2 linked regions of the Caenorhabditis elegans genome follow. The protein of the gene in region 1 purifies or fractionates together with the protein of each later gene. This does not show direct contact. Each region holds a gene or a part of one and is shown in the gene's direction. Other genes may lie near its edges. The genes, in order: C36C5.12 and T13F3.6.

Evidence for each region.
Region 2: the proteins of C36C5.12 (region 1) and T13F3.6 fractionate together in Caenorhabditis elegans (co-fractionation; one large-scale study listed by BioGRID). This does not show direct contact.

Annotation. Positions count from the first base shown.
Region 1 is NC_003283.11:3,151,501-3,167,647, reverse strand, and holds C36C5.12 (UPF0376 protein C36C5.12), read left to right. Parts: upstream 1-8,482; 5' UTR 8,483-8,485; coding exon 8,486-8,620; intron 8,621-8,676; coding exon 8,677-9,090; intron 9,091-9,139; coding exon 9,140-9,199; 3' UTR 9,200-9,242; downstream 9,243-16,147. Other genes in the region: C36C5.4 (T20D4.11-like domain-containing protein), read right to left, coding at 380-430, 479-874, 930-1,088; C36C5.14 (T20D4.11-like domain-containing protein), read left to right, coding at 2,133-2,264, 2,405-2,818, 2,871-2,930; exh-1 (T20D4.11-like domain-containing protein), read right to left, coding at 9,840-9,899, 9,949-10,362, 10,413-10,553; srab-7 (Serpentine Receptor, class AB (Class A-like)), read left to right, coding at 12,476-12,702, 13,117-13,345, 13,394-13,579, 13,629-13,824, 14,009-14,163; srab-6 (Serpentine Receptor, class AB (Class A-like)), read left to right, coding at 15,686-15,912.
Region 2 is NC_003283.11:16,261,348-16,277,409, reverse strand, and holds T13F3.6 (T20D4.11-like domain-containing protein), read left to right. Parts: upstream 1-6,188; 5' UTR 6,189-6,200; coding exon 6,201-6,278; exon of another isoform or gene 6,279-6,333; coding exon 6,334-6,441; exon of another isoform or gene 6,442-6,488; coding exon 6,489-6,662; exon of another isoform or gene 6,663-6,929; coding exon 6,930-7,076; 3' UTR 7,077-7,110; downstream 7,111-16,062. Other genes in the region: pacl-1 (Polycystin-Associated Channel-Like), read left to right, coding at 2,041-2,150, 2,203-2,430, 2,477-2,775, 3,919-4,016, 4,448-4,687; T13F3.8 (uncharacterized protein), read right to left, coding at 4,912-5,486, 5,659-5,715, 5,764-5,770; fbxa-2 (F-box domain-containing protein), read left to right, coding at 7,872-7,960, 8,209-8,830, 8,884-9,075; T13F3.4 (T20D4.11-like domain-containing protein), read left to right, coding at 11,803-12,198, 12,254-12,313; Nuclear hormone receptor family member nhr-127, read right to left, coding at 13,519-13,685, 13,736-13,952, 14,058-14,270, 14,321-14,416, 14,465-14,592, 14,771-14,904, 15,003-15,115.

The DNA of each region.
Region 1 (16,147 bases):
GGACATCCAGGTACACTGCCTGATGATGATCCCAGTGGGATGTAATTTAAGCCATGCCCTAGCCGGGAACTGTGGCCGATAATCCAGTCGTGGATTGCTCCACTACCTAATAGAGGCTGGGTGAACCTAGGGGGTGAGGCCGGACTTGAACTCGTGACCTCCTGATTTTTAGCGGCCACCACTACCTAGTGAACTATCAGTCTAAATCACGGGTTTAAAAAGCCTACTTGAAGCTTGAGGCTTGAATATCAGATATTGTCCTTGATTTACACCCCTCTTTCTGTAATCTGAATTTCTGTGAACTGAACTCTTATCAATGTTTTATTTCAATAAAAATTTAAGTAAATAACAAAGGAGAGTCGTCTCCATTTTTGTATCTTCAAAGGCCGCTGAAGTCACATTGCTTGAGGACAGGTGCTGCTTTGAAACGCTGAAATTTTTTTCATCAGATGATGTTACTTATGAATCTAAAACTCACATTCAACAAAAGTTGCCAATCACTCTCTCCACAAGTATCAATGATCAATTTCTTCATGCAATTGTCTTTTCCGAACATGGTGGTGCACAATTCTTCTGGCTTCTTCTCTTCACCACTTCCATTTTTATCTGGAGATGGGTTCCAGTCCTTGGCACACTCGGGCGCCGGTTTCAGTTCATCCAGCTTTGTTAGGCATGGAAGAAATTCTGAGGTTAAGAAGATAATATTCTCACAAGCATCTTTGACTGTTGTCGTTGCCGGAAGTTCTGCATTATCGCTGCACTCAAGAGACTCCATACAATCGGCAACCGCACCGCACGAGTCGCGGAATTTCTTTAGACTAGAAGGTTTCTTCATGTCCAAAAAATACATTTTCGCCATAAAACTTCCAAAGCTCTGAAATTCTTTCTTTTTTTTTAAACCACACATTTTCTAATTTCTGAAATCTTACATAAATGCAACTGAAAACTGTTTTGAAAGTGACTTCGGTGCAATTTTTCCCAGCTCCTGACTCAATGACACTTGTTTCATTGTTCGAAATCTGTGGGGCTCCATTTCCGAGTGCCAGTAGAAGTGCTCCAAGCAAAAAAAGTTTGAACAAATGCCGCATTTTCTGTAACTGTGCAATATTTGATGAGAAAATATATGGAGAAAAAGTAAAAACTGAAGGCTTCCACTGTGGCTGCCCCGTTTTTTAAACGTTTCAAAAGAAGATATTGAACTATTGAAATTCAAATATCTTTTTAAAACGATTGGTGTGATTGTGCTTCGCACGTTTGTTTCATCAAAAATTCAGTTTTGTGTGTTGCTTGAGCCCAACCCTCGCCTACTTAGCCGATCAGAAATGTCAATTTCGGAGCTTTTAGACCAAAAGATCTCAAGATTACACTGTAGCACGTTTTCTTCCACTTCCGCATCCAGCAATTGTGCTTGATGTGCATCAAAAATTGCATTCTGATGCTTTTTTGTAGGCTTCCGTGGAAGGCAGGCGCGGTTCCCGGGCCTGACACCAGTCTCTAATCTGCCCGCCTCAGTCCGCCAAATGAAAACTTGCACAGAGCCACGAAAGCGTTGGAAGAACGCATTCTAACAAGAAAAGTATTTTAGCTCACAACAAGACTTCTAAATGGAGTTAAGAATTTCATGTAAGGTAGGCGCGGTTTGCTGTCTAAGCCTTAGCGTAAGCCTAGTCCTAAGCCTAAGACAGAGCCTGAGCCTATACCTATTTGGAAATTTAGTTGCGATCTTAAATACTATGTATCTTTATTAGAGTATGTTCCTCCAACTCGTGTTTAGTTCCTTGTCAATCCAAAATTTCAAAGTGCAATTTTCGAGAAAAAGATGCCCACCAGAAAGTTCTGACTGCCACCCCCGTGCAATCCAGAAGACAGAAAAACTTGCGATCTTATGTTTTTTGTGTAATCTTGAGATCTTTTGGTCGAAAAGTTCCGGCATTGGGATGTGTGTACATTGGATTTTGTGAAACAAACGTGCGATCCACATTTACACAAAACTCTCTTTAAAGATCTATTTGAAGATCCACGCCAGTTGTCACAGTATCATCATTGAAACATTTATAAACAGGGCAGCACAGTAGGAACCTTCAGTTTCGGCTTTTTTAACAATATTTTTAATAGTAATTTTATTACAGAAAATGATAGGCTTACTCAAGCTCGCCCTCATCGGTACTATGCTATTGGGAGTGGCTCATGGAGCAAGCCTAGCATCGGCAAAGGGTTCAGACTGCACTGTAAAAGATACAAACGCTGCAGTTAGATGTGTTTTGGTGAGTAATTCGTAGTAAAAATGGAGACCCGAAATCTGAGACTGTGCATTTTTAGGCACTACCTGGCCTAAAAAAGTGTTAAAGTCTCAGATTTCGGTACTCCACCTTCTATGATATTTGTTTCTAAATTTCAATTTTAGATTACGAGAGACTTCCTGGGGGAAGTTGACGAGCTCGATATGAACGATAAGGATGAACTGAAAGATTTCAAGAAATCGTGTGATACTGTTCAAAGCTGCTGGAACAATCTTACATGCACCGCAAAAAGCGAAGATGAAAAGAAACAATATGTTGAGAACATCAAAAACTACTGTGATGCTGCGATGTATGTCTACGATGGTTTTTCCAAATGTGGTGATAAGCTGAATGCAAAAAAATCGAAATGTTTTGATGACTGGGACCCAATTCCAAACAAAACTCATTCGGAAAAAGATGCGGCAAAGGTCGAGAAAATTAAAAATGACGCTTGCAAGACATATTTCGGAAAGGATAACTGCATGAAACAGGAGGTTACGGAAACTTGCGGCAAACAAGAATGGGACTCACTCCACAAGGTGAACTTTTATTTTGGCATTACCGAAAAGTTACTAATTCTCTATTTTTCAGCATTTCCTTCATCTTTCTGGAGGACTCGTCAGCAAGTGTGACTTCAGCAGACTTGAATAATTATTATTTTTTCCGCTTGAATAAATTTTTGTAGATTTTGATATTTTAAAGAGAATTTTAATGGATGTTCAAGGGGTAGACTGGAATGTGATAGATCCGGGTTTCTGCCTAAAAAACTTAGAATTACCTGATCTTGAAATAGGACGCCGGTTGAACTCACGGTGAGGAACCCAGAAAGTGTCGGCCGCGGAAAAACCAAAGGTTTTGATTTCACACCAACATTCAGAAAAATGACGAACGGTGACCGTGAAGGCCAGTTTTCTAAATAAATCTTCGTTAGATGTACCGCCTGCGGGCCGCCACTTTGCCGTTTTTTTGCTATTTTTGGCTCACCAATTCGTTATTTTTGCTGTAAATTTTAGGCCAGGTCATGTACCAGAAAACAAATAGCGGCGGTGGAGCACTCTGAACCATAGAAAAGTGGACCAGAAACAGGCTTCAGGTCAAATGTTTACGAAAATCAAATAGTTCTAATAATGACTCATAAAGGTAGAGTTTGTAGGAGTTTGACATAAATAGGTGTACTAAAACTGGCGGAAATCGACAATCTTTTGGCAAGTCAAAATTTTGAAAATAACGAGTAAAATTTTGCTAAAATCATAAAATATTGAGTTATCATGCCACGCTCCAGTTTAAAGGTGGAGTAGCGCCAGTGGGGAAATTGTAAAAAACCACTCCTTTGGTCCTAAAATGACCCAATATCATGATAAAACTTTTCAAAAATTTTTTGAAATTTTTTTATTTACTGTCAAAAAGTGGCAATTGCTCAGTTTTTGCCACTCATAATTTTGGAAGTCGACCAAAAAAAATTTTTTTTTTTTGACATTTTTTATGTTTTAATTTTGTTTAAATTATTTGTATTAGAACATTGTAGGGGTCGAGACATGTGACATTTCTTTAAATTTCCTCAAATGCTCATATTTTTCAAAATTTTGGCACTTTGCCAAAACTTTGACCGGAAATTATGAAAAATCTAAATTTTTTTGGAGTGTTTTATTATGATATTCAGTTGTTTTGGATCATGGGGGGCAGATAGCTCAGTCGGTAGTACACAGTTAAATCGCGGATTATACATTGTGTATAAAAAATGCTTCGCGATGGCACAATTCAAGTACCTCGGAACATAGGCATAATGTACACACAATGTACACATCGCGAACACCTATTCGCGATGTGTACATCATGTGTACATTATGCGTTCATCGCGAACCCACAAATGTGTTCGCGATGTATACATTATGTGTGGCATGAGGAATTTTTTCACAAAAAAAAAAAAACTTTTCACATTTTTCTCACTGGTCATTCCCACTGCCCATTTCGTTTCACTCACACTGATCAGAAATTTCTAACAACCCCACGGACCCGAACCAGCGCACCCTCTACCCTAATGTTTATAAACCCAAGCCGTTACCTGTGAAGCCATCCGCGCACATTTGCATATGAGTTTGCAACGAGTTAAATACTGATTTCATCGCACGAATTTCGTTCAATAGACTTGAAACTAATGCTGTAAGCTTTAAAATGTATCCGACGCTCAACTTGCACCGAAGTTGAAAAAAAAAACTTCGTTTTGGAGAAGAACCTTGAGCAATCGAATCATGGATTGGAATGCAAGGGGCCGTCGCCGCCTCTCAGACAAACGCTTAGTCGTCTAATTAGATTTCAACCAAATATAATGGGGACATAATTAATAGGCTCCCTATTCTAATCCAATATGGATTTTCTAATCAAATATGGCTGAAATCTAATCCATTATGGAACAAATCTATTCCAATATGGATTTTCTAATAAAATTTGGAGCAAATATAATCCAACATGGCATTTCTGGATTGGAATGTCACTCTCCCTCCAATGATCAAACAGAGGAGACAACTCCATTGCTACCCCCCAAACACCACAGAACGGACTCTGTGGGCGTCCCTTGTACTCGAAGAGTATCACACCAAACAATGTTTTGGATAAGGCGAGGAGTGGAGGGAACTCCCCGCCTGTAATCACATCCCTCAGACACGCCAATTTTCTGAAAAGGCTACTGCGCAGGACACACGGAGATGTCGTGATGAACCCGGGTCCCCCGAAAAAGTCATGGCCGTGCCCAGTCTGTGGCAAGAACGCGGCCACGAGCAGTCTCGGCTGCACGAATACCAACTGCGACAAATGGACCCACATCAGATGCTCGAAAGTGAACATGAGAATATATACAGGCACAGGCTTCTACTGCGTGAACTGCGCCGGAACTCACACGAGAGCCGTCACCCCCCGCAGCAGACCACCGACCCTGCCGACCAATTCTGCTATGCGGCTCGCCACGAGGAGCACTCAACAAAGTACCACTACAATGGTTCATCACATGTCTCAATCACCGGCTCTGAAAAATCTACTACACATCAAATTGCCACCAAGCCAGCACGGGTTCAAAAAGCTGCATTCCACGACGACAGCGATCACTGAAACCTTGAACTTTATCACTGGCGGACTAAATGGCAAGAGACCTGCCGAACGGTCAATCCTGATAAGTCTCGATCTGAAGGCCGCTTTCGACACAGTCTGCCACGATAAGCTTTTCGTAGAACTGGCTCAAACAAAAGCTGAGCCGAAATTGATCCGTTGGATTACAGGCTATATACACAAAAGACGCATAAGGACACTGTACGACGGTCGCTGGTCCAGATGGAAAACTCTCCGAGGCGGTGTGCCTCAAGGAGCGGTATCTAGCCCTTCCCTCTTCTCATTCTATACGATAAACACTCCATCCGGAAATGGGACAGAAATCATCCAGTATGCGGACGACACGTCCATTCTCGTTCGGGACAAGTCAATCAATAACGCGGCAGTAACGGCCCAAGCCCATCTGAATGTATTAAGAGACTACTTTAACTTTGTAGAACACCTCAATTTAGGTAGTTGCTCCAAGTTTGGACATTCATTTTACGATCTCAGTCGAATAGTGACCAAAACTAGAGTTGATTGAGCTGACAGACGTATTACTTTCAATGGCTTATAACTCTGGTGGCGTTTGAATTAATAAAATGTGTTCAACTAAAAAGTTGTTGGTAATAATGTGAAAAACATTTTGGTAGTTGGTACCTTTTTGTTATCTTCAATGACTGTGGAGATGTGAGCCCCAAAAGATGACCAAAATATTCTAGATCTGTTCTTAACTATATCTCGGTTCTCGATAAAGATGAAGGGATAATTACAATTACAAAAACGTTCACTGTTTTAAGCTTAACAAGATTATAGTTGGGTACTTTTTGATACCTCGCCTCTAGAAATAGATAAATCTGTTTTAATACAGGAGAGATCATGGTTCAAAGCTCCAAGGAATGTCGGTTTTACTAATCGAGAGCACCGAATTTGGTAAGAAAGTTCATAGATACGACAAAATAAACTTATTTCTACAATACCTAATGAATATTAGATAATATTTGAAAAAAAAATTTTTGACTTTTTCGAAACGAAAATCCAAAGGTTATGAAAAATTTCAAAAAATTTTTTCGAAATTTTTTTTTTTTAACTTTTCAAAATTTGATCAGATGTTATAGAAAAATATAATAGTTGTTAGTTTTTTTTTAGTTTGGATGTTCAGAGGACGACTTCAGATGAAAACCAGGGGTATAGCAGAACTCCTACGTTCAAAAATGGAGTTCACTTTGGATGCTTACATCTTCGTGAACAAAATTTTTATTACCAAGTGATCAACTACAAAGTTGTTTATCTTGATCTACATTACAATATTGCAGTTGATTGTTTTTCATCAAAAAATTTAATAGTCGATATATGAGCAGAAAAAGATAAAGAAAATTCAAGCATGAAGTTGCTGCACTTAACACAACTTTATCTCGACCCTCAAATTTTTTGATAAAAAACGATCAACTACAAAATAGTATTTTAGATTAAAATAAACAACTTTGTAGTTGATCACTTTGTCATAAAAAAAATCCAAAGGGTCCTTACAAAAATTTTCATTTTTTTTCGAACATTTTCTTTTGAAAATTTTTGAAATTTTAATTAGATGTTATAGAAAATAGCAATGTTTGCTGTTTTGTTCAATTTAGATGTTCTGAACACAATTTCAGACAAAAACCTGAGGCAGTATAACCCCTAGGTTTTTTTTGTATTAAAACACCTGTATTAAAACAGATTTATCTATTTCTAGAGGCGAGGTATCAAAAAGTACCCAACTATAATCTTGTTAAGCTTAAAACAGTGAACGTTTTTGTAATTGTAATTATCCCTTCATCTTTATCGAGAACCGAGATATAGTTAAGAACAGATCTAGAATATTTTGGTCATCTTTTGGGGCTCACATCTCCACAGTCATTGAAGATAACAAAAAGGTACCAACTACCAAAATGTTTTTCACATTATTACCAACAACTTTTCAGTTGAACACATTTTATTAATTCAAACGCCACCAGAGTTATAAGCCATTGAAAGTAATACGTCTGTCAGCTCAATCAACTCTAGTTTTGGTCACTATTCGACTGAGATCGTAAAATGAATGTCCAAACTTGGAGCAACTACCTAAATTGAGGTATTCTACAAAGTTAAACACTTTTTGAAAAATTCTTGGAAAAAAATTTTACTCAAAAATTTTTCAACCATAAGGGAGGACCCTTATGATATTTTGAAGCTGGAGAATCTGATAATAAGGGGACCCTCATGATTGTTCGGATTTGAAGATTCAAATCGTACGGGGTACTCTTAAAAGGTAATTGAAAAATTGAGATTTCAATGACAGTTTTTTCCAATTAGTAGGCACCGTTCCACTTGTGACATTGTGAATGCATGATGTATACATCGCGAAAGTTGTCCAATTTTTCGCGATGTACACATTGCGTGCGTTTGCGCTTCGCTAATGCCCGATTTATGCCTCAAAACACACAATGTATACCCCGCGATTTAACTGTGGTGGTGGCCGCTAGCTGTCTGGAGGTCACGAGTTCAAGTCCGGCCTCACCCCCTAGGTTCACCCAGCCTCTATTGGGAAGTGGAGCAATCCACGACTGGATTATCGGCCACAGTCCCCGGCTAGGACGTGGCTTAAATTACAGCCCAGAGGGATCACCACCAGGCAATGTACCTGAATCCCAGATCCGCAGTGCATAGCACTTGAAGAACGGATCGTCCTTTAATCCTTTAATCCTTTAATAAGTGCATTTAGACAAAATCCCTCACTGGAAGTCTACTCGCGAGCTCAAACGCTTTCCTTGATTGAATGAAATGCTCCAACTCTTGTTGGGCTTCTTACTGTCCACTGTCCAACTTGCTATCTTACGTTTTTTTGTGTAATCATGGGACGTCTCGATGTTAAAAATTCCTGGATTGAGTTCCATCAGGATGTTTGTACATTTGATTTTGTGAAACAAACGTGCAATCCACATTCTCTTTAAAGATATATTTGAAGATCTACGCCAGTTGTCACAGTGTTCTGTATCATCTTTTGAAACATTTATAAACAAGGTAGCTCACATCAGTGAAAACTCTCCGGCACAGTTTTTTTCAATTTTCCACTTTTATTGAAAATGTGATTACATTTTTTGTTACAGGAAATGACAAGTTTTCTCAAGCTTGCCATCATTGGTACTGTGCTTTTGGGAGTGGCTCACGGAGCAAATCTAACTGCTGCCGAGAAAGAAACTTATTGTGAGTTGCGATCTGCCATTCAAACATTCCTTTGTATTGAGGTAAGTGAATTTTTTAACAACTTGAAATTTATCTAGTTCTCAAATTTGGAATTTAGCGTCTTCGCGACTTCGCAGCAAAAGTAGATGAACTCGACATGGATAAGAAAAGTGAACTGAAGGAATTCAAGAAAACTTGCGATTCTCTAAAAAATTGTTTTGCCATTACCCGCTGTGGGCCAAATTCCACAATGGACGAAGCAGAGTTGTTCCGAATGGTCGAAAAAAATTGCGAAGCTGTTGTGTACATCCACGAAGATTTTTCCGATTGTAGTGATAAACTTACTGCGAAAAAATCAGTTTGTTTCGACAACTGGGACCCGATTCCAGATGGAATTCATCTAGAAGAAGACGAAAAGAAGGTTGAGAAAATGAAAAAAGAGACTTGCAAGAGATATTTCGGGAAAGATGACTGCATGAAGAAGGAGATTGTCGAAACGTGTAGCCAAAAAGAATGGGATAAATTTCGTGAGGTAAGTAACAAGTAAAGACTTATTTTTTGGAAAATTCATTCATTTTCAGCAGTTCATCAATCTTTCCTCCGATTTGGTTAGCAAGTGTGACTTCAGCAGACTTGGATAATTATAATTCTGATGACAAAATATTAATGAATTAGTTTTGATGCAGGAACATTTTTTAGCAGCAAAATATGCTTTCAGGATTTTTTTCAGAGAGAACAGGATTTATTGCAAAACCAACTTTGATCGTGAGAAAAAATTATCTAGCGGCCAAAAATGTTGGTGGAAAAATTCCATGCAGGCGCCAAAATGCCTGCGGCGACCTCCGCCTGCCTCGTGCCGTGAGCCGTACCGCGAAAAAACCGCCAATCAAGGTATTTTATAAAATATCCTGCTCACTTTGTGACAGAACAACACTTTGGAAAAAGAAGACATCTTCATGAAAACACCTAGTTTCAGTTTTGTGTCACATGGCATTACAAACCTGCCGGATGTCAGAAGCTGTTACTTTTTCGACAATAGAATTATATAAACTAATGTAATTTTTTTTGTTTTTTTGTTTGGTATGGTGTACTCGACTGCAGGTACTAGTACCAATGGCAAAACTACATAGTTATTTCAATTTTTCGATTTGGAGCAACTCCGAAAGTCTGAAACGATTGAATCGGCGCAGAACGTTCCGAATAGAATAACTTTCTGATCGAAATGGTAAAATTTTATTTATCGAATTAAAATCAGAAAGTAAATCAAAATTATAAAGTTATTCAATCAGTTTTGCTGAAGCCGCATTCGCTCAAAATATTGTTGCCGATTCCCACGAAGTGCTGAAATTTAATAAAAATTGTTTTCTCTAAATTCCCCCGGAATACTTACGTCGCGAAGTTTGGCCCAATCGGATTCACCACATGTTTCAGTAACCACCGTCTTCATACAGTTGTCTTCTCCAAAATAATTCTTGCAAGAATCTTCACGCATTTGTTCTTTTTTCTTCTCATCCTTTTCCAGATTGAACTTTCTCTGGAACGGGTCCCAATCTTTGTAACATTTGTTCTCCGCAAGTTTATCACGGCATTCTTCAAAGTCGTTGGCGATATAGGAAACCCCGCTACAATAGTTTTTGATTTTTTTGACCATTTCCTTTTTCTCCTCTGGTGCGATACCCTTTGGTGTACACTGCGGAGTTTCAAAGCAGGTGGGGATAGTTTCGCAGGACTTTGAAAATTTGACTACTTCCGCCTTATCGTCCAGCTCAAGTTTATCAAGATCATCGAAAAACTCGCCTAAACGCTGAAAAAACACTAAATATTACTAAAAAAAGTATTCATATAAAAACAAACCATGATACAGCCAATCGAATGGAATTCAACAGACAGAGTACAATTGACCATGTTTCCCAAAGGTACTAGGTTAACTTTTACACCTTGAACCAAATCCAGGGACAATATACCAATGGTGACTAGTAAGAGGACGAGCTTCATCTCCTGAAAAAACAAACTACATACATAGAGCCGAGCTTGAAAATAAACGAAAAAATAGACAACATGAGATCCTGTCGACTCGAGCCGGGGAACTATTCTGAACAGAGTAGCAACTGTTCATGTCGAAAGGCGGAAAAAAAGTGTGTAACGTTTGAAGGGATAAAGTTCTAAAAGTTTGTTTCGACAGTTGTTGATGATCTTTTGAGAAACATTCATCGGTTTCTTTAAAAACTGAACCAGGAAGTGAAAATTAAGACTCTATCGTAAGTAGTACTAGGAGGAACGGACCCACCGAGCTCCCAGGACTGCTGGCCAGAGAATCTGGAAAAATCTGAAACTTGCCTGAAAATGAGCAATTTTTTTTCTGCTTCCATGCCGAAATTGGGCTGAGACTTATAGTAATTGTAGTAAGAAAAAACATTTGTTACAAGCTACATAAAAAATGTTCAAAATTTTTTAAACATTTATTTTAGTTTTCTTTCAAAAGCAAAATTATTTACAAACCGCATAGTTTTGCATTTTAATTTCAAATTAAAAACATAAATCGAGTAGCAAAAAAGCTGAACTCCAAGTGGTTTGATCTTGTAATTTCCCCTATAACACCACCTGCTGAAAAAGTTAAAAAAAAAACAATTCAGACAAACTATGATTATATAGCAATTTTGAAATTTTAGAATTTAGAATTCGTTCCAAAAAGGCCCAAACTCCCAGGGGGCAAAAAATGAGGGGGCATCGTGTTCTTAGGGGGCATTTACTCCAAGGGGGCATCACTCATAGGGGGCATTAGGGGTCAATGTTCTTAGGGGGCATTTTCAAAAGTCTCAAAGGGGGCAAAGTTTTAAATGAGTATTTGTTAAGGATACGATTTTTAATGATTTGTCAAAAATGGAATTCGGCCTTAAATACTAATTAAACACTTTGAAATGGAAAAATTATGATGTTTTATTTGTCTTGTTTATTAACAATATTTTGAAAAGTGCATTTTTTCGGTGGGCAACTTGTTATATTTGTATCTTTACAGTCATCCAATATAGACAAAAAGTTTAAACTAATAATTTGCTGATTACTATACAGGGTGACGACTTTTCAGTTGACCACTTTTTCTTATATCACACACGAACGGAGCTATAAGATTTTGGAATGTATTATGTCTACATCCCCGCTCTTGACAATTCCATTAATTTTTCGTGAGAGCACATCCAAAATTGTTTAAAAACTATTTTCTGTAGTATCTAAAACTTTTGAACAACTATCTTGGATGACTGTAAAGATACAAATATAACAAGTTGCCCACCGAAAACATACACTTTTCAAAATATTGTTAATAAACAAGACAAATAAAACATCATAATTTTTCCATTTCAAAGTGTTTAATTAGTATTTAAGGCCGAATTCCATTTTTGACAAATCATTAAAAATCGTATCCTTAACAAATACTCATTTAAAACTTTGCCCCCTTTGAGACTTTTGAAAATGCCCCCTAAGAACATTGACCCCTAATGCCCCCTATGAGTGATGCCCCCTTGGAGTAAATGCCCCCTAAGAACACGATGCCCCCTAATTTTTTGCCCCCTGGGAGTTTGGGCCTTCCAAAAAACCAATCACGCAAACAAATTTTGACTCATGTTTCGATGGATGTTTTTATCAAATTTTAAAAGATGAGGTCACAATACTATATTTCATAGTATTATGGCTTTCTGATTCCCAACTCATTAGCACATCTCTCAGAAAAATTTCTATGTGTGCTTTTTTTTTGTTTTCAGCCAAAACTTTTCTACGAGAACTTTTCATGAATCTCAATTTTTTTTTATTTTAAAATATTTAATTTGGAAAAAAATTTATTTTTAGCAATACTTTATGCATTTCAGGAGCATGCATTTATTTAATGCTAGGGCTCCAAAAAAATTTTCCAAATATTTCAGATGACACCATATCAGGAACAATGCAAAATAATGGAATCCCTGTCTTCGTCCATATTCCTCCGATTCACTATAACATTTCAACTTGCATCTAGTCTTTTGGCTTTAACAATGGTTATTGTAGCGAGTTATAGTTTATGGACTGCGCAAGTTGCAAGATTATTCCACGTCAATGTAATAATTATATTTCAAGTTCATTGGTTCGGATTTTTTTTGCATTGCTCGAACAGGTTATAATTTTTGTGATGTTACTATAACTCAACAATTAAAATTCGTAAAACGAATGGTTTAATAATTTTAATAATTTTAGTTTTTTTGGAACTGAAAAAATTCCACAACATTTAAACACTTAATATAAACCTATTAAAAAAGGTATTTCTAATATTACTAGTTTTTGGCAATTCAAATTCCTGGCGGTTCAACAATCCGGCAACCAACAAAAACTAAAATTATCGAAAAAATTTTAAAATTTTCAGGTTTTTACGAGTTGAGAAAGAAAAAATTTACTACAGTAAAAATAGTTTATTACTGCTTTTTGAGTATTTTATTCGAAATTTGTGTTCTCGATAATTGCCAAATTTTTTGACACTCCAAAAGACACGCAAGTGGTCTAAATATGCAATGCATTCCAATTCTGATTCCAGAATAGTGCTTCACACCATTGACCTTCACAACTACCTGATCCTTGACTACTGTGACATGCCTGCAAGCACAACTCGATGTTTTGTGCTCCGCGTTCAATATGTATTTGGCCTATGTTTAGTTGGAGCAACTACAATTCCACTGGTAATTGAAAGATATATTGCAACAATTAAATCGTCAAAATATGAACAAACTGGGTGTGCGTTGGGGATTTATATGGCTATTAAGCAGGTAAACCCAGTTCTTCGAAAATTTTAAAACTTTTTTGAAAAATTTAAGTTTTCAATTGCAACTATGACAACTTATTATGCATTCTTAATATTTCCATTCAAGGAACCTTTTATGCCCTACTGCACAGCTATCAAGCAGGGATTTGTTACTAACGTCGAAGTGATTTTCCATATTATCCTCCTTGCTCAAATAGTTGGAAGAGTTATTTTTCAGTACTTGTTTAACTTGAATGAGGTATGTAGGTGTTCACTAAAAAGGTATAAGCTGTATACTCTAATTTTAGAGGCTCCGGGCAAAACAAATCACATGTTCATTGTCAAATCGATATTCTTTGGAGCAAAACCTAAAGTCTATGAGAACATTGAAACTATTTGCAAATTTACAAACTGGATTTCAAGTTATCCATATTATGTTTTTTCTATTCTTATTGAAATTTGGCGCAGAACTTGAATCTTCTACTTACTTGGCTCTACTTGAATGTGAGTCATAAAATATACGGTGTTATGATGTTTCATGACAATGTATGTATCTGATTTCCTAATTATAGTTGTGTAAGCACACAGTTTTTGTAAAACATCAAATATCTGAAGAAAAAAACATTTCAATTTTGATGAAACAGTAAAACTGAAAAATATAAAGTTTTGGGAAAACAATAATTTTCAGGGAGTGGCTCCTACCCCTTATATGCCATTATTTCAATTGTGGCATTGTTGAAGAAGGCTCAAGTAAACAAAGTTCGGCTGAAAAAGGAGCTGGAAGTCCATATGAGTGCAGACCAGAATAATTATTTTGAGAATTTTAATAAGTCTTGGAATTAAATTTTTTCACAATTTTTGTTATTTAATACGCCAACCCTAACATGTTATTGAAAATTTGAATGAATTGATTTTTTACAAGGAAATATAGTCTTAGCTTGTTTAGTCATGTCAACGTTGTTAAAAATTTTATTAGCATTCTATGAGGTCTATGTGAAAAACAAAGTCACGAAAACAAGAGAATATGGTGATTTATAATGGAAGAAATGATTTTCAATATGCATTTTCATATAATATTTTAAAGACTTTTTATCAATGAATTTTTAAAAAATTAATTTTTTGAAACATGTAAATTGAAACAAATAAAATTTAACTTACTTCACGGTTAAATTATATGACATTTATTGACGTTTTTAGCTTTTCGTGCATTTTTTTTCAAAATTTCAGGTAGGGTTTAGTTTAAATGCTCAAACTATTCCAAAAAATAATCAGGAACATTTTGAAATTTTGAAGAATTTTGTAGCTTTCAGAATTTTGTTTGAAAGTGTGATAACACATTTTGAACTGTGCATTAGCTAAAATTTCTTGGTAAGAATTTAATTTGAAAGGTGGAAAATGACATTTTGGAAAATTAAAACATTTTGGGAGGAACAAAACCCATAAGTACCAATTTTCAAAAAAACAACAAATGCATTTCCCAACAAATACTTTAGAACAACCAATTTTGTCTGTCAAATCCACTGTGCAAAAAGTTAAAGCGGCTGACATTGTGCGGGTACAAACATTACGTTCTCGAGCTACAGACATTCCAAGAAAGTTTTGAAAATTGGACCCGGAAGAGGTCAGACGCTCTAACTCTTTCCGGAGTTAAATTAATAACATGCGGTAACAGCGAACATGTAGACGTAAATAATATCAATATTTTTTATATAAAGTTTTTTGCCAAACTGGTTTTGGGTTAAGCTCACTTGAAAATAAAATAAAAATCAACAAAAACCTAAAAACTGACACAGTTTTTGGCAATCAACGTACATCAAACTCTACTCAGGCGGCTCATATCTCGTTTGTCTTATATTTTATCAAAACATGTTTTACTGTAAAAATTTATAAAAAGACTACGTATATGGCTAGTAAACAATTTTTTGATAAACCCAAAGAGAACCGCGATAAAATCTGATAAATTTGAAACTATTTTTATAGATTTTTTTTGGCTAAAAGTTGTTAAGAAAAGTTTAAATATCTAAAAATATACGTTATATTATTAAAATAAACAACAGTATTTTTTTTAAAGATTTGCTCGTGCTCACTTTTTCTAGAATTACATTTTCAAATTTTCACAGTGTCAGAATACTGAAAACGTAATTGTATAATGACCTTACCCAAAATACTTGCTCAAAACAAATTTTGTGTACTTGTATAGCTGAGACTCCCGAGAAATGTTAATTAGTATGCAAAGGTACTTTATTATCTTAAAGCAACTGAAAGTTATTAGTTTATTTTTTATTACTTTTTATATTTCAATTTATAAAAAAGTTATTGGTATATTTAAAATTTTAAAGACATTTTAAATTTCAGACAATTTAAAATGACATCATACCGGGAACATTGCCAAATGATGGAGCACATTTCTTCCTCCTTATTTCTCCGATGTACTATACTATTTGAGCTGGTCTCTAGTCTTATTGCTGTCCCATTGGTTATTTTTTCTAGCTTCTACATTTGGAAGTCACAAACATCTAAACTATTTCATTTTAATGTGATTATCATATTCCAACTTCATCTGTTTGGTTTTTTTCTGCATTCTTTGAATAGGTAAATTTCAATTTTGAACTGCAAAATTGAACGTGCCCTATCATTGTTTTTTTTGAAAACGGGGAAAAGGTTAAAGAAAAACACAATTTTAAGAGCTTTTTTAAATAAAAATGTGCAGAATTTCTCAGAGAATATTATGCTAGTTGACAAAATTCTGCTAGCTCAGCCTATTTTTGAGTTATAGTCCAAAAAGTGTTGCAAAAAAAAAAACTTAGTTCGCCAATTTGGTCATCGT
Region 2 (16,062 bases), about 13 Mb from region 1:
TGTGATCCAATTAATGCACCGGTACTGTAGGAGGACTGAAGGGGTACTGTGGGGGTACTATAGGTGAGGGCTGTGGGGTAATCGACAATTGCCGAAGTTGCCGAACCCTAAAAATTTCGGCAACCGGCAACCAGGTTTTGAAGTTTTGACGTTGGTCAAACATATATTTTTGTTGAAATTATACATATTTTAGAGCGTTTTGGAATAAAGAACAGTCGTTTTTACAGTGAAATGCTATCATTTTTAGGCTCTCTGAATGTTTTTTTCCGAGATAAAAAATGTTTGACATTGATATCGGCAACTGCCGAAGTTGGCGAACGCTATAAACTGCGGCAACCGGCAACTGGGTTTCTGCTTTTTGTAGAAGCATTATCGTGTTTGGTGGGGATAGTATCGAAGGGCTGTAGGACTACTTTAGGGTTACTGTAGGAGTATTGAAATAGTTTTATAGGATTACTGTCGTTTAGAAAAATGTGTGTTCGGGATTGGCGGTTTTGAAGCCAAGGAAATGTAGTGGTACTGATGGGGTACTGAAGGATTACTGTAGTTTTGTAAATTTAGAGTTTTGAGCTGCGTCAAACCTGGATTGCCAAAGCGTAGAACAGTTGACGATGTAGGTTTTTCGTAATTTTGCTCAAAGAAATTGCAACCCTCATTTGCTGTTGTATTTTATAGTAGCAACATGTCCCACAATATGCAATAACAGTAAGTGAGATAATCTGAAATTTGAAGTATTGAAAAAAATTTAGATTACATCTATACTGTACCACAACTAACTGATCAAAACCAATTCCAATTGCGGATCTTTTATTGAGATATTTCACTCCAGTAGTCTCATTTCTCGGCCAAACAAATGCAGCGATATAAACTATATCGTCAATTTTCAAGTCATAAGATTCCAGAATACTATTCTCAACTTCTGCACTAACTTCTGAAGTGGGCCCAAAACATATTGCTACAATAAAGCTCCAGATAATTCCGAATAGTGGAGGAACTAAGAACAATATGCAAACTAACTTTCTAATCATTTCAGTATGTCTGAAATTCGAGGAATTTAGATATTTATCTGACCCTCCAGTTAAGCTTTACCCATAAATCGCCAAATACCTATAGAAGAAGTGAATTCCAAATATTCCCATACAAAATCCATAGCATCCTGAATACACTACCAAAAGCCAATAGTGAACGGAAATGGGAATGTAGGGTTGGTCCCGAATGTTTTTAAAAACTAGTAAAACTGACGAATAAGCGTGATAGGTCTGAAAGTAGGAATAAGAAAACTTAAAAAATTTAGAAATATACCGGTAAGGATATACTATCCATAATTGAGTAAAAAATTTGAAATAAGGAAATATAAATCATCAGATATTTGTAAGATCCAATTTTTTTTGGAGAGAATTTTAGGATTAAATATACCAAAATTGAATTTAAGATCACAGATATAAAAAGTGAAAATTGTTGGATTCGAGTTTGGACTGAAAGCCATGCAATCGACATTGCGCTTGAGAGAACCGACTTCACGAGTATTAACTGGATCTTGAGTAGCAGGAACAATAATGATGATATTTATACTATTAAAACCATTGGGTTTATCCATAGATTTATCCAATGGGGATAACGCATGTCGATAATATGAAGGGCACACAACAAAACAGGGAAGTAACAGGGCAACAGGGCTCCCCTCCGTGCCTACCTACTTGCCTACATTCTTACATGCCTATGGACCTAATTGCGTTTATGTTGATTCTGGAATATCGCATATGGATCAGAAGGCTTTTTTGAGAAGTTTTTTTAGAAGCGGCAGTAGAGCCAACAGAGACAAATAAAATATTTGTATCAATAATTATAAAAATTGCCATCAAAACATGTTTTTTTTTCTGCTATATTCCGGTCTCCAAGGCCTGCAATTTTGCTCAGGTCTCCTCGCAACTTACCAAGCAACCGTCGACATAAAATTCATGCGGCCTCCTGTTTTCCTCTCCCCGCAACATTTTTTTCTGAAGCTACTTCTCCACTGAATTCCAAATTTCTATATTCGAAATGCCCAAAATATCCGATGGTCGTCGGCTATTGCGGAGTACACTTGGACCAGTAGTACTATTAATTTGTGTTGCGGCATTTTATGCAGTACTGATTTATGGTTTTTCCCTGTAAGCTTCTTTTTTTTTTGTTTTTGAAATGCCTGAGACACGTTTTTAACAGATTCGAGTACAACAGTGAATGGAAAGCAGAGCAGAAGAATTTCGAGAAAATCGCCGCTGACGTGGAATTCGAAAAACAGCGACTTCAAACCTCATCAGCCTCGGCTCAAATCTACAGCTCCAAGTATTCATTGGCTTCAAGTGATGTCTACGGTATCATATCTGGATTCCTGAACAAAACTCTTCTGGTCGAGCCTGCGTATACATTCATGTGGTCCAAGTGTTCCACGTAGGCTTATATCTATAAATGTTTAAGAAGATCCAAAAATGTTTAGCTTCATCCGAATGTACCAGCATGCTCTCCAGCTCAACGACGATCACACGCTTGTCTTCTACAAGCCGTCTACTAAAATTATCGATACAGTTTTTCGATCGATTTTTCCCATTTCCACAACATTTGCAGTCGGTTGTAGTGTCTCTGCGCTTCACTCAATCGTCACCAATATCCTGAAAATATGCATTCGGCAGAAAAAATACGAAGCGTGGACTGTTGGGAGGAATAAGATGTTGAGAGTTAATGTGATCGCTTCACTGATTGTGGCTTGCGCCTACTTTGTGCTGAGCTTCTTTTTAAGTGAGTTGGAAGATTGTGATTTCCAGGAAGAAATAATATGAAACTACCAGCCGACTGGCAAAATTTGACATGTTTGACACATAAATCATCAATTGATCCTACAAAAGTATCTCATGGAAAAAGGTGAAAATCTTCACTTTTTGAACACTAAATAGGATTCCCGCCAAAATGTTTTCAAAAAATTAATATTTGAATTCCCGCCAAAATTTTTCACTGCGATGGGTCTCACCACGAAAGGTCTCACCACGAAGGGTCTCACCACGATGGGTCTCACCACGATTGGTCTCACCACGAAAGGTCTCACCACGACGGGTCTCACCACGAAAGGTCTCACCACGATGGGTCTCACCACGATGGGTCTCACCACGAAGGGTCTCACCACGATGGGTCTCACCACGAAAGGTCTCACCACAATGGGTCTCGCCACGAAGGGTCTCACCACGATGGGTCTCACCACGAAGGGTCTCACCACGAAGGGTCTCATCACGAAGGGTCTCACCACGAAGGGTCTCACCACGATGGGTCTCACCATGAAAGGTCTCACCACAATGGGTCTCACCACGATGGGTCTCACCACAATGGGTCTCACCACGATGGGTCTCGCCACGAAGGGTCTCACCACGACGGGTCTCACCACGAAAGGCCTCACCACGATGGGTCTCACCACGAAAGGTCTCACCACGACGGGTCTCACCACGAATGGTCGCTTTTTTTCGAATTTTCCAGAAGGTTCTGGAACATTCCAGAATAATGTTTTCAAAAAATTAAAATTTGAATTCCCGCCAAATGTTTTCAAAAAAATTCCAATTTGAATTCCCGCCAAAATGTTTTCAAAAATTAAAATTTGAATTCCCGCCAAAATTTTTTCAAAAATTAAAATTTGAATTCCCGCCAAAATGTTTTCAAAAATTGAAATTTGAATTCCCGCCAAAATGTTTTCAAAAATTAAAATTTGAATTCCCATCAAGATGTTTTTGAAAAGTGTTGAGTGGTTTATCGCGTACCTCGATCGATGTCGGGTGCGTATTCATCATAAGTAGCCTCAAAATTTTCTAAAATAATTTCCAGCGCTGAATGTTGTGACGTCATTTGTGACGTCAGAGACATACGGAATAGCGCTTTATATATAGTAATGATTTTCAGCTACCATCTCCGCCTCACGCTGGCAAGACGTCTCGTTTACCGATGGAATCAAGATCACACTGAATTTGATTGCAACCGTACCACCAAGTGTTCAATTGGTACGATTATAGAGCAAGATTTGTATTTGGTTTTTTAGGGTGAGAATGAGGCAGGCAGAGGGCGTAGGCATCAAAACCTGATGCGACCTTGTAAGTAGGCATGGTGTCCATCTAGATAGATAGGCAAGTGCAGGCAGGTAACAAATAGTATTTTCAAACACAGCCTACCTGTACGAGTGCGTACCCCTGCTTTACAACTGTCTAACTACGTGCTTGCGTTATGTCTACCTGCCTACCTGTGTATCAACATCATAACATTCTACCGACTTTCGAACCTTTAAATGCTCACGTACGCACATGCCTGCCTACCTACCATGCCTGCCTGCCTACCTACAATTGTGCATACCCATGCCACATTATACCTGTCCATTGATTGTTTTGAGCCTACCTGCTTACCTATCATCATGCTTGCCTATCTATTTTGTTTCCAGAAATTGATAACAGACGCGCACACCCTGACAGCCTTCTGCTTTGTAATTCACACCGCCACCGCCTACGTCATCTTCGCCCTCATCCAATTCATCAAGACGTGGAGAATTTCCGAATTCGCGATTCCCCTTATCTCGGACATTGATCAAGCGGATCAAGTGGACAAGGATATGCAAGTACAGTACAGATCGAAAAATGAGCTTTTCAAGAACAACCAGCCAATGGGAGAGAAGGCGGAATAACTTTTTTGTGATGTGATCTGGAATTCAGCTAATGAAGCTATTTGTTAATATATTTATCTTGGACTGTACATAGTTGAAATTCTGCTCAAAATTGCATAAAGTCCGCAATTAATGTATACTTCGATGGGTGGAGAAGCCCACCCCAAATTTTCATCAATCTTTACTTTTTCAAAATACCACATACATTGCAAAAAAAGAGTTCACAGATAATCCAGATCTTCCCATTACTCCTTATCATCATCCTTCTTCTTCTTCTTCTTGCTATCGTCCCAATCACTCGCCACATCCTCCATAGTCGGATAGTCCGTCCTCTTCTTCTTGACTCCATCAGCGATTGCTTGCTCTTTGTCCGTGTACTTTTGCTCTTGTGGCACGATTTCCTCCTTCTTGGGCTTCTCGTCCTCCTTCTTCTCTTCTTTTTTCTTTTCATTATCCTCTTTGTTTTCATCATCTTCCTTCTTTTCTCCATCCTTCTTTTTCTCATCTCGTTTTGAATCATCTTTCTTCTCCTCCTCCTTCACTTCCTCCTTCTTCTCCTCTTCCTTCTTCTCCTCTTTTTTCTTCTCCTCTTCCTTCTTTTCCTCTTCCTTCTTCGGCTCATCCTTCTTCTCTGCTTCCTTGTTTTCCTCCGGTTTCTTCTCCACCTTTTCCTCTTTTTTCTTCTCCTCAGGCGCTGGATTTCCAATGTTCACATTGTTCGTGGTGAGACCAGTCGTTGTCGTCATCTTCACTGTTGACATCTCACGGACTTTTGCCTTTGGCTTGGCTTTGCCCTTCTTCTTACACAAATGGAGAGATGCTGAAAATGTTTTTTCAATTGGCGAAAATAATTGAATCGTTCAACTTTTTCGGACTTAACGGGACCCATAATATGAAGCTCCCTATTTGGCGATGGAGCGCATTTTCACTTCAATTTCAAAAGGATTTGCTTAAAAAACCCGCACTTTGTAGGCTGCACAAAAGCAACTCACCAGTCAATACAGACATCCATATGATCAATTGTAGAAGCTGTGGAAACCAGATTAAATCTGAAACCGAATTATTGATTGAAATTTTGCGAAAAATTTCCAACTCACTGATCATTTCAATAATTGGCAATCGGGGATTTGAATTCCGGTCCAACAGAATCTTGCTGTACAAATCCAGTATTGATTTATTTTTGTAAAACTAATTTCGTCGGCTGCCCCTATGTTCCACTGCCCTATTTCTTCACGTTAACACTAATATTTAATATTTGAAAATTGATATTTAAAAGTTTCCGTGAAAAAAACATTTTAATTTTAAAGTTTAAATTTTATTGATTGTGAGAGAGATAAATTTTGAAGAAATTGCTTTATTGGGACACTGTTTGATACGATTTCGATCAACTATCAAACTTTAACTTTCAATCTTCAATCGAACTGCGAACACTTATCAGACATTACACAAAATCTAGTTTCAAAAAATTGTGTTGATCAGTAGATGATAGCAGTATAAAATGGGTCTCCACCATTTGTAAAATGAAAAATAAACCATGATTTCTTTTGGTTTTATCTTGGTAATTGGTCTTCCAATTTTTGCGACAGCAGCTACAATGGATGATTGTAAAACTGTAAGTATGCCTAATACTAATAGTGAGATTTTTTGTAAATTCATTAAATTTTTAGATTGGTCTAGGCTTGGAGCCAATCATCAAGTCGATAAATGTTACAGACCGATTTTTCTGGCCACCGGAGACATACAAAGCTTACGCAGATAAATGTGAAGAAATTATAGTAATATTTTTTCAAAAATTAAGAACGGAACAATGGCAAAATTTCAGAATTGTGTAAAATCGGTGGACGCTTCCCTACTAGACAAGTTCTCAACCAAAGTGAGCCCTTGCCTATTCTATATTTTCTACAATCGCGACTTCTCAAATTGCGCCAAAAAGCTGATCGCGAAGAAAGATGACAATATTTCATGCCTCAACACACTTTTCAATGATGTTCACGAGGTATGCAAAACTGTAATCATGCAGGCTCCGAGACGCCTGCAGCGCCTGCCTCGCCTTCCTTCGCCTGCCTCACACCGCAATCCGCGTCCTATAGTGCTGCGCGGAGCTCAAAAAGTGTCGAGCGCGAACTTTTGTTTCAAGCAAGAATGCAGAATTGAGGTGTGAAGCCGGCAGGTTTTTGGGCCTGTAACCGCGCCTGTCTACCATGAAAGCTCATACTTTTTAATTTCAAATATTCGATTGTTCTCACAAAATTGAAATTTTCAGCCAGAAGTAGATGAGTGCGATCAATGGGACAGTCTTCAACCATGCATTAAGGAAAATATCGCAAATTTGTGTGATGACCAATCAGGAAAAATTCAGGAACAATATGTAAAACAAACCGCTAATTTAAGACCAGAATTTTGTGACTAATAGTAAAATGTTGAATAAAACTATTTTAGATTTCAAATAAGTTTTCCGCGCATTTTGCGCTTTATTATTTATTCGTTTTTTTTATTGATATACCAGCCGTTCGCACGCGCAAGGCGCGTGCTCCGACTGGCGTACGCTAAATTGTTTTAATAAATTTTAAAGTGCTAATGTAACATTTTTGTACAGTCATACATTTTCCTGGAGTTTTGCGGACTTTCAAGAAATTCTAGGACTTTCAAGATTTTTTTCAAATTTTTTAAGCGCTTTGAGATTCTAACTACAAAAATTTTCTAGGTGCCGGAAGCTTCCAGTTCAATCAAAAAAACTGGCTTTCAGGCATAAAAATGGCCGAATTTTTATTGGAGATTAAAAATCAATATCCCTTCATAAGCCAAAACAACGCAGACTACAAAGACTACATAGACTACAAACTATGCACTGTATTTTTAAATATATAAGTATTGATAACTCAACCTATGACTCTTTAGACATTAAATAGACTTACTACTGATTCGAAATCTACAAGACAAAAAAATAAGAGAGAGAGAGAGAGAAAACAAACAGACAAACAGTTTTTCACTTGGAGTACTCGTTCTCTGCCAACAAACTTGACGCGTCTAAGTCTCTCAACAACAAATACGATATTTTTTTTCACTAACCCTCTACATTAACGAACAACTTTTGCCGAAGATACATTATGTATTACGAAACTTTAAATTTTAATTCAGTCTGCATACTTTTTGTATTCATCTGGTGATTTTCAGCAATTATTCTGAAAATTTAATGCGTTCAATAATGTCCAACAACCAAAAGCATCCGACTTTGCTCAATATGCCTCTGGAAGTCGCTAACCAAATTTTGGAGAAACTTGAGCCCATATATCAGTGAGTCATTTTTGTGTCCCAAAAGTGGTGCAATATAATTTAAGATTGATTTTCTAGAAATTGAAGTTTTCTGTAACATTCTTTTTACTGATGGAACTATTGAAATATAGGCGGCAGAGGGAGTGTAACAAAAAGTAACAAAAAAAGTAATTAAAAGAGAAATCTGAAAATGCTGCTAATTAAATTTAAAAAAAAATCATGTTCTATAAACCAATTTTCAACTATCGGCGAAAATTCTTATATTCCAGACTGACATCCCGAAAAGTGTGCAAATGTTTGAAAACGTCGGTGGATAAGCTGGGAACTCATTTTTATTCCATCACCTTCCATATTTTGTCTAGAGAAGCACACATTCAATTGAACGGAACAGAAATCAAATACATTGATGCTCCAAATGCCAGTACATATGTAATTTACAACGAACAAAAAAAGATTATTCAAGGCGAAAACTTCATCAACTTAGCCTTCAATGATTTGCAACTTTTATTAAAGAATCCTATATCAAAATTTGAATTTCTCGAAGACAAAAGTATTCAAGACAATGGGCTACGTCTTCTAGACGTTATGAAACAAAACGGTAGGGTTCATCTCAAGAGTATCAAGTTTTCTCATTGCTCAATCGACGACGTACTGCCAATTTTTCCATATTTGAATGCTCAAGTTGTAGAAGAAATCGAATTGTATTTTTTCAAATCAGCTGACGGATTTGATAGGATTAGAGATTTGGATCAATGGAAAAACGCAAAAAGCTTTACATATTATAGCTTAGTCCCGATGGAAAACAATCAAACTATGCATATGTTTCATTTTGAGCACTTCACGCTCACATTGGATAAGTTTTTGCTACAAGACGCAATTCAAATTCGAGATGTAAGTTTATGCAATACATAGTGTTTTGTTTCTTCTGCAAAAACGCATTTCAGAACGTTCTGAACAGAAGTACATTTGAGATTTGCAATATCAATTTTCGAGCATCAAACGCAACCCCATCGGAAATCGCAAAAGTATTCAAATCGGATTACACAGACGATGATGGTGACTTTTTGTGGACAAACGATTGTAAAACATGGTTAATTTGCAGTCACCATGAATTTTTTTCTTGTTCCGAAACTTAATGAACATTTAGTTTTTCATACTCGTAATTTGTTCCATTCCTCGCATACCCCTTCCCTCGTTTGTAACCTAGTGCAACATGAATTGTTTTTTAGCCTTCAAAAAAATCTAATTTTTTTTGAAATACGAAAAATATCAAGTTTGGAATGAAAGAAAAAGTAGCGTAAAAAACATACAACTTCAATTATGAAAATTGTCAAAGAGTATATATTTTTCTACTGAACCATTTTTGCTACTTTTGTTCCAATACCACGCAATTTTTTTTAAAAATTAGCTCAGTTTTTTCTAGATTGATGAATAAGCAAATATACATTTTTAAAAATTGATAAATAATTTTCTGTGACTGAACAGTAGTTCAATGAAAAACCAATCAACAAAAAGTTATAAAAAAAACCGCCAAGAAACACAAGTTTACCTTAAAAAAATGTTCAAATTTATCATTTTCCGTTTGATTAACTTTAAAACTTCAACTTCTAATCTCCAGCCAAACGTTTACGCTTGCAGTTACTCTTGATGACTGTAATAATGTGAGTTTGTATGAAATTGAAATGCTCATAAATGAATGAAATTCCAGATTGCTTCAGACTTGGACCCGATAGTCAAATCAATAAACGTTACCAATCGGTATTTCTGGCCACCAGAGATATACGAAGGTTACGCTGATAAATGTGAAGAAATTATAGTGAATTTTTATTTCAAAAACAGAAAAATATGACTAAAATTAATTTTTCAGAACTGTCTAGAAGCGGTGGGTTCTTCACACTTGAAAAGTTTGACGACCAAAATTCGCCCTTGCCTGTTTTATATTTTCTACAATCGCGAATTTTCAACATGTGCTGAAAAGCTGATAGCCAAGAAAGACGACAATATTCCATGTCTCAACACACTTTTCAATGATATTCACGAGGTGAGCAAACGTTTTTTTGTAAAAAAGTGTAGTTTATTGAATTTTTCAAATGTCTAATTTTTAATTTAAAAAACATAATTACAAATTTATATACATATTCATATTTCTAACTTATTTACAGTTTGGGATCTTCCAAAACATTTTTACCCCAAGTGTTTTACCAGTTACACTTTTTCCCCGTTCCCCGATCCTTCCAAAAGTTTCCCGAGAACTACTGATTTTCGAGATTTCTCTAGTTTCCCATAAACGTTTTAGAAGTTTCTGGAAGTTTATTTTTCCAGCAAAGTTTTTCAAAACATATGAGCTTTATGTTAAACACTACTTTTTAGAAAGCTGAAATTTTCAGCCAAAGTGTTTTTTTAGAAAATTGAAATTTCCCGCAATTTTTTCGATAATTTCAGCCGGAAGTAGATGTATGCGATCAATGGGACAACCTTCAACCATGTATCAAGGAAAATATCAAAAAATTGTGTGATGACAAATCGGGAAAAATCCAGGAAGAATATGTGAAGCAGGCCACAAATTTAAGACCAGAATTTTGTAACGATTATCAGAGAATGATAATCGCAATTTTCATGCTGTGTTTATTTTTTATCTGCTTTTTTGTTGTGCTAGTACCTCGATTCACGCGCCGAAAAATGTTTCAGGTTTGTGCTGAAAAATGAATCTTTGAGTAAGTAAAATAATAAATAGCAAATTATTACATGAAATTTGTGTTAATTGTTTTCCAATAATTATAGCGAAATCTGAATTAAAATTTCTATCTATTTCATCGTTTAAAAACTTATTTAACGAATTTTATGTACTGTCATGTCAGAGTATCAGAAAGATTTTCAGAGGTCATGAGACATAGACTTCATATTGAAAGAGGTTCTGGATGCCTTTCAACGATAAAAATGTTCAAGAACAAATACAATAACTGTTGAATGTTTTAAGTACCGAAGGAAATCATTATTTTTTGAAAATAATTATATTCCTATTTACTATGTACTTCCCTGGCAAACATCTGCTAATTGTAGGATTTGAAAAACTTAAAAAAATATTTTAAAACATTCAAACACAATGTTATAGAAAAAACGAATTTATTATTCCGGAAGGATTTTCATTGCTTTGAAAACACTTCCAATTAAAAAAAAATTAACAAGTTTTCCATGAAATGTTTCTAAATCATTAATTTTTGTGAACTAGATGTCTCAAACCTCCGCACCTCGGTCAGAGATTATATATATATATATATGTATATATTTATTCAAAACGTCGTAACAAAACAGAAAAGTGTAGAATAATCACCGGGAGAAACAAACTTGAATAATTTGAATGATCCTTTAAACCAGAAGTAGTTAAGGGGATCAAGTTGGGTGGGAAAAATAATTAAACGGGATAGAATTTAATCGTGAAGCAAACATTTGACGGCTCATTGTCTCCGGAAGTAACTTGGCCATACGGTTCCATAGGTGAAGATTGACTAGTAGGAAGCTTTCGTTGATTGATCCACAAGGGCACATCATGTACGGATATCTGGGCGAGCGAGCCTTCCTCCCAGTTGATGCGGCATTTGGAAAGTGGTATTCACCAGACAGGATGTTGTGATAGGTCCTCAATAATGCCCTGATGCTGACAGAAAACCATCACTTTCGTGTCACTTGGTAAGCTCACTCAAAATTAAAAAAAAAAATAATTTCAGTTTGACTTTTTCTAGTTTGAAGTTCTCTTATGCAGCTGAAGTTTTGTAGTTAATTGACAAATTAATTCAAACATTTTTTCTTGTTAGATTGCATTGACGAACAAACGAATTAATTTACAGAACTTACTCTCCTTCCAAATGAAATTCGAAACTCTCGATTTTAATGATGAAAAAGATATCAAGAATTTCAAGACAGATTGCGGTGATCTACAAGATTGCTTTACAGCTCTTCCATGTAGGCCAGGCTCCAATAACCAGCTAGACAAAAGGCTTCGTTCAATTGAATGGGTGTGCAAAGCTATTGTGTTCCTCACCGAAGATTTTTCTAATTGTTTTGACAAATTGCATGAAAAAAATGCAGAATGTGTTCAAAACTGGAATCCATTGCCAAATGAAATATATTTAGAAGATGACAAGATGAAAGTTGAGAAAATGAAAGAAAATGCTTGTGATACATATTTCGGAAAAGATGACTGCGTTAAAAAGGAAATTATTGAAAGATGCGGCCAAGAAGAATGGAATACGTTTCGTAAGGTACCTAATTAGGAAAAAAGTTGTTCTTCCTCTGAAAAAGTGTGCTCATTTTCAGAAAATGATAAAGCTATCTGAAGATGTTGTTGGCAAGTGCGACTTCAGCAGACTTGAATAAACGATTGGATGTCGACTGAAATTAAATAAATTTGTTTTAATGCATAAACATCAAAATAACTAAATTTAGTGTCATTTTACTAATTTTTCGACAAAATCACTAGTTTTGGCCAAAATTATATTGTCAAATTTTTGATGTGTGCGGAAAATTTGGCAAGTTTCACGAGCTTCGACAAATTTGTCAAACAAATTTGTCTAAAACGTACAATTTCAACTAGTCAGCTGTGGGAAATATTTACTTTGTATTTTCCACAGTAATTCAAAGGATCACAGATTGCGCCGTGAGCTAGTCTAAATCCGACTAAATGTTTTGTAAAGTGTAGGTGAAAAGTAACTGTATGCTGATGAAAAAGACAAAGACAAAAAGTCAAGAATTTCATTAACTTAAGAAATGTTCTAACCAAAGTTGTTCAACTTACACGTTTTCTTGGAATACTTAGCCGATCCGTTCTTCACCTAACCCAAAGTTCCAAAATTTTCGATTTTTTGATTCGTGAATTCTGAAAACGCTTAAAATTTGAAACAAGTCCCGAAAAATTATTTTCAAAAAAATTCATTTTAAGTCAGATATTAATTTTTCAATAATGAAAACTAAATAAATCTCCCAATTAAAAAATGTAGTCATTTATATGTCTGAAGGTCAGTTTTTTTTTGATTGAACTGAAAGCTTCTGGCACCTAGAAAAATTTTTTGATTAAATTCTCAAAGCGCTTAAAGAATTTTCTAAAAAGTCCTGGAAAGGTCTACAACTTTTTAAAGAAAAATCTGGAAAGTTTTAAAATTTTCTTAAAAGTCCGCAAAACTCCAAGGAAATGTGTAACTGTACAAAAATTTTACATTAGCACTTTAAAATTTATTTGAGCAATTTAGTGTGCGCCAGTCGGAGCACGCGCTTTGCGCGGCTGGTTTTTCTATATGGAAAATCAAGATTTTTAGTGAAATTATTTAAAACTCAGGGACCCTATAGAAAACGTGCGTCCTAGTTTTTTAATCATGAGTTGGTTGCTTTCAATTTTTATGGTAATTCACGAAACCTCGAGAGGACAGGTTTTTCTTTGGAAAAATGCCCTTTCAAGGTTGTGCGCCTAGTCGAAATCTAGATCGGCCATATGATTAAACATCTGTTCCAAAAATTTTCGATTTTAGATTAAGCATTACATTCAGTTAATTATTGTTGAATAAAATGATAGACAAAGATAAATAAGATTAATAAAAATTATTCTGCACAATCTGAACAATATCCATCATTTTCTCAATCCGAAAAGCGTAATTTTCCAGTTTCAGCTCTCGCACGTAATATTCATGAAGATCCTTGGATAGTTGCTCGGTGAAATGTTCCCCCTTTTCCAGAGAATTTCCAGAAAGTAATTGTTCTAAATAAAACAATTCTTAATTTTTTTCGGAAACGTTCTGCAAGTCTCACCTGCTACACTCCAAACTATTTGCCACTGCATATACGAAATTTCAATTTCAGTCGGCTTCCAATTTATGAAATGTAGTGCTAATTCATCAAATATTACTGAAAATGACAATTCCAGCTTCTTCTTAATCGATTCACTTTTCTTCGGGCTTGCTGTCTTTAAAGAGTTTTCAAATGCAGTGATAAGGCGAATTGCAGTGTTGTCCGAGATGAAAACTATCTGCAAATTTGTTTTTCTGAGAAATGGTGATCTAGGGAAACATAGTTGTATAACCCTAATATTAGAAAAAAAAATTTTTAATTGTTGAATTAAAATCAATTTTACCTTTTCATCAATAACTTTGTTTCCGAAAATTTCAAGTGATCTACTCAAAAATTCGAGAACTGTCCATCCATGCCACAACCTTTCCAAAATTACTACTTTTTCATTTTCCTCAAGCTTCTGGAAAAACGAAGAAAAAAGTAGCCATGTAGCACATGAACCGATAACTTTAAATTGTACATCTTTCAAGCTTTCTGAATCCATTTCATCGATTATCTAAAATAAATTGGAAATATAAACTTTGATTTTGAAAGAAAACATTTCACCTTTATGCACTCCCTCTCTTGATTTCTCCTGATAAACTGCAGACCTTCCGTGAGTTTTTCCAACTTTGAACAGCCTTCTGAAGCATTATGTGGATTCTGGAAATAACAATTGTCGGCAAGTTTTAAACATAATTATAAACTTACAAATTGTTTGAAAAGACCTCGAATGTCTTTAATCAAAATTCCGTCATCATGCAGTACATCACTAGGGATACAATTATTCTGGTCAGTTGGAGTGGGGGAAGAATCTAGATCGCGATTCTTTTGAATTTCTGAAAGCTAGGTTTAAAACTAGCCGCCGATACATTTATTTTTTTAAATGTTTTATCGTTGTTGAATTGAAAAATTAAAAATTGTTTGAAAAATTTTAAGTTGCAGGTAAAATTGGCATTTACACATTTCTTATCTGCTACAACTTTTTTTGAAAATTTGACGCTTACGCCCACTCACTTTCAGCCTTCATCCCTGCTTTTACACACTTGCTGAATCGGCAGTACCTACAGAAATGCCTGTCCAAGTATCTAATTTGACAGCGCTTTTTTCCGTCCTTGCATTGATACTTTATTTTGGAAACGACAGATCTTCTGAAAAAGCACACAATTTTTTTTTGAAATTTTTTGAGGAAAGTGAATTTTGTATCTCTTCCACCAATGTGCACTAATATCTATTTTTTATATCTTACCTAAAAAACGATGCGCACGCTCCGCAAGATAAAACTTCAAAATGGTATCCGTTTGATTGATTTTTGCACACTTCGCAGGGAATTGAAAGTTCCGGAGAAAAAGTAATCTTCATGTTTTGTGAAACAGAGACAAATTTGGAAATTCGAAGAACGCCAAAAGTCAGATAATGTCGAAAGATTTTTAAAAGGTAGGCGGAATATACATGAATACCAGAATAACCATTTTATCGCTCCAAGCATCTTTGACCTTATGCAGAGAGAAAATGGCGGCGCATAGAAAAGTCATGGAGATGTGTGGAAATGATCACGGGCCAATAGGCCGGTCCCTGAAAAGGAACACACTTTTATTTGAAATCTTGAATTTCAAATTTTCGAAATATTGTTCAAATTGTATATTTTAGCAATGTTGTTATAAATGCTGGCTATTGATTGAAACTTTGACTCGAAATTAGAAAAAAATTTCACAATTTTGCTTTTTTTTCTGTGCATTTAAGTTCTGTTATAAGTGTCTGTTTCGGTTGAAAATTTCAAACATGAAACATTCTCCAGTATGTTATCCATCTCAAGAAACGTTGGCGTTCCTGACACCAAAAGTTTTATCGTACTACCGATCGTCTAGCTTTCCGAATTTCAAAGTACTTGGCGGTCCAGTCTTCATGTTTGAGCCTTTTGACCGATCAGTGAGTGTACGGCTCATTTCACTTTCTATCCAGTCAGCGCAGTCATAGACGCAAGACGACGATACCGAACGGGAAATGTCCTGAAAGCAATTTTCAGACGTTAAGTTACGGGAGTATGCACTTCAGGGGTGTGCGGCAAATCTCAAAATTTGTCGAGCTTGGCAAATTCGGAAAATCTCTTTTTCCAATATTTCCCGAGCACGGCAAATTTGGCTCATTTTCCGAGCTCTGTAAAATTTATTATTTTTAAAGGTTTTTTGGATAACCAGAACTACAAATTTGGTAAATCTACTTTTTGGAAATTGGCTACACACACCTGATGCAAATAAAAAAAATTGGCCTCAACGCTGAGGGGATATTTTTCGATAAAATCTCAGTTG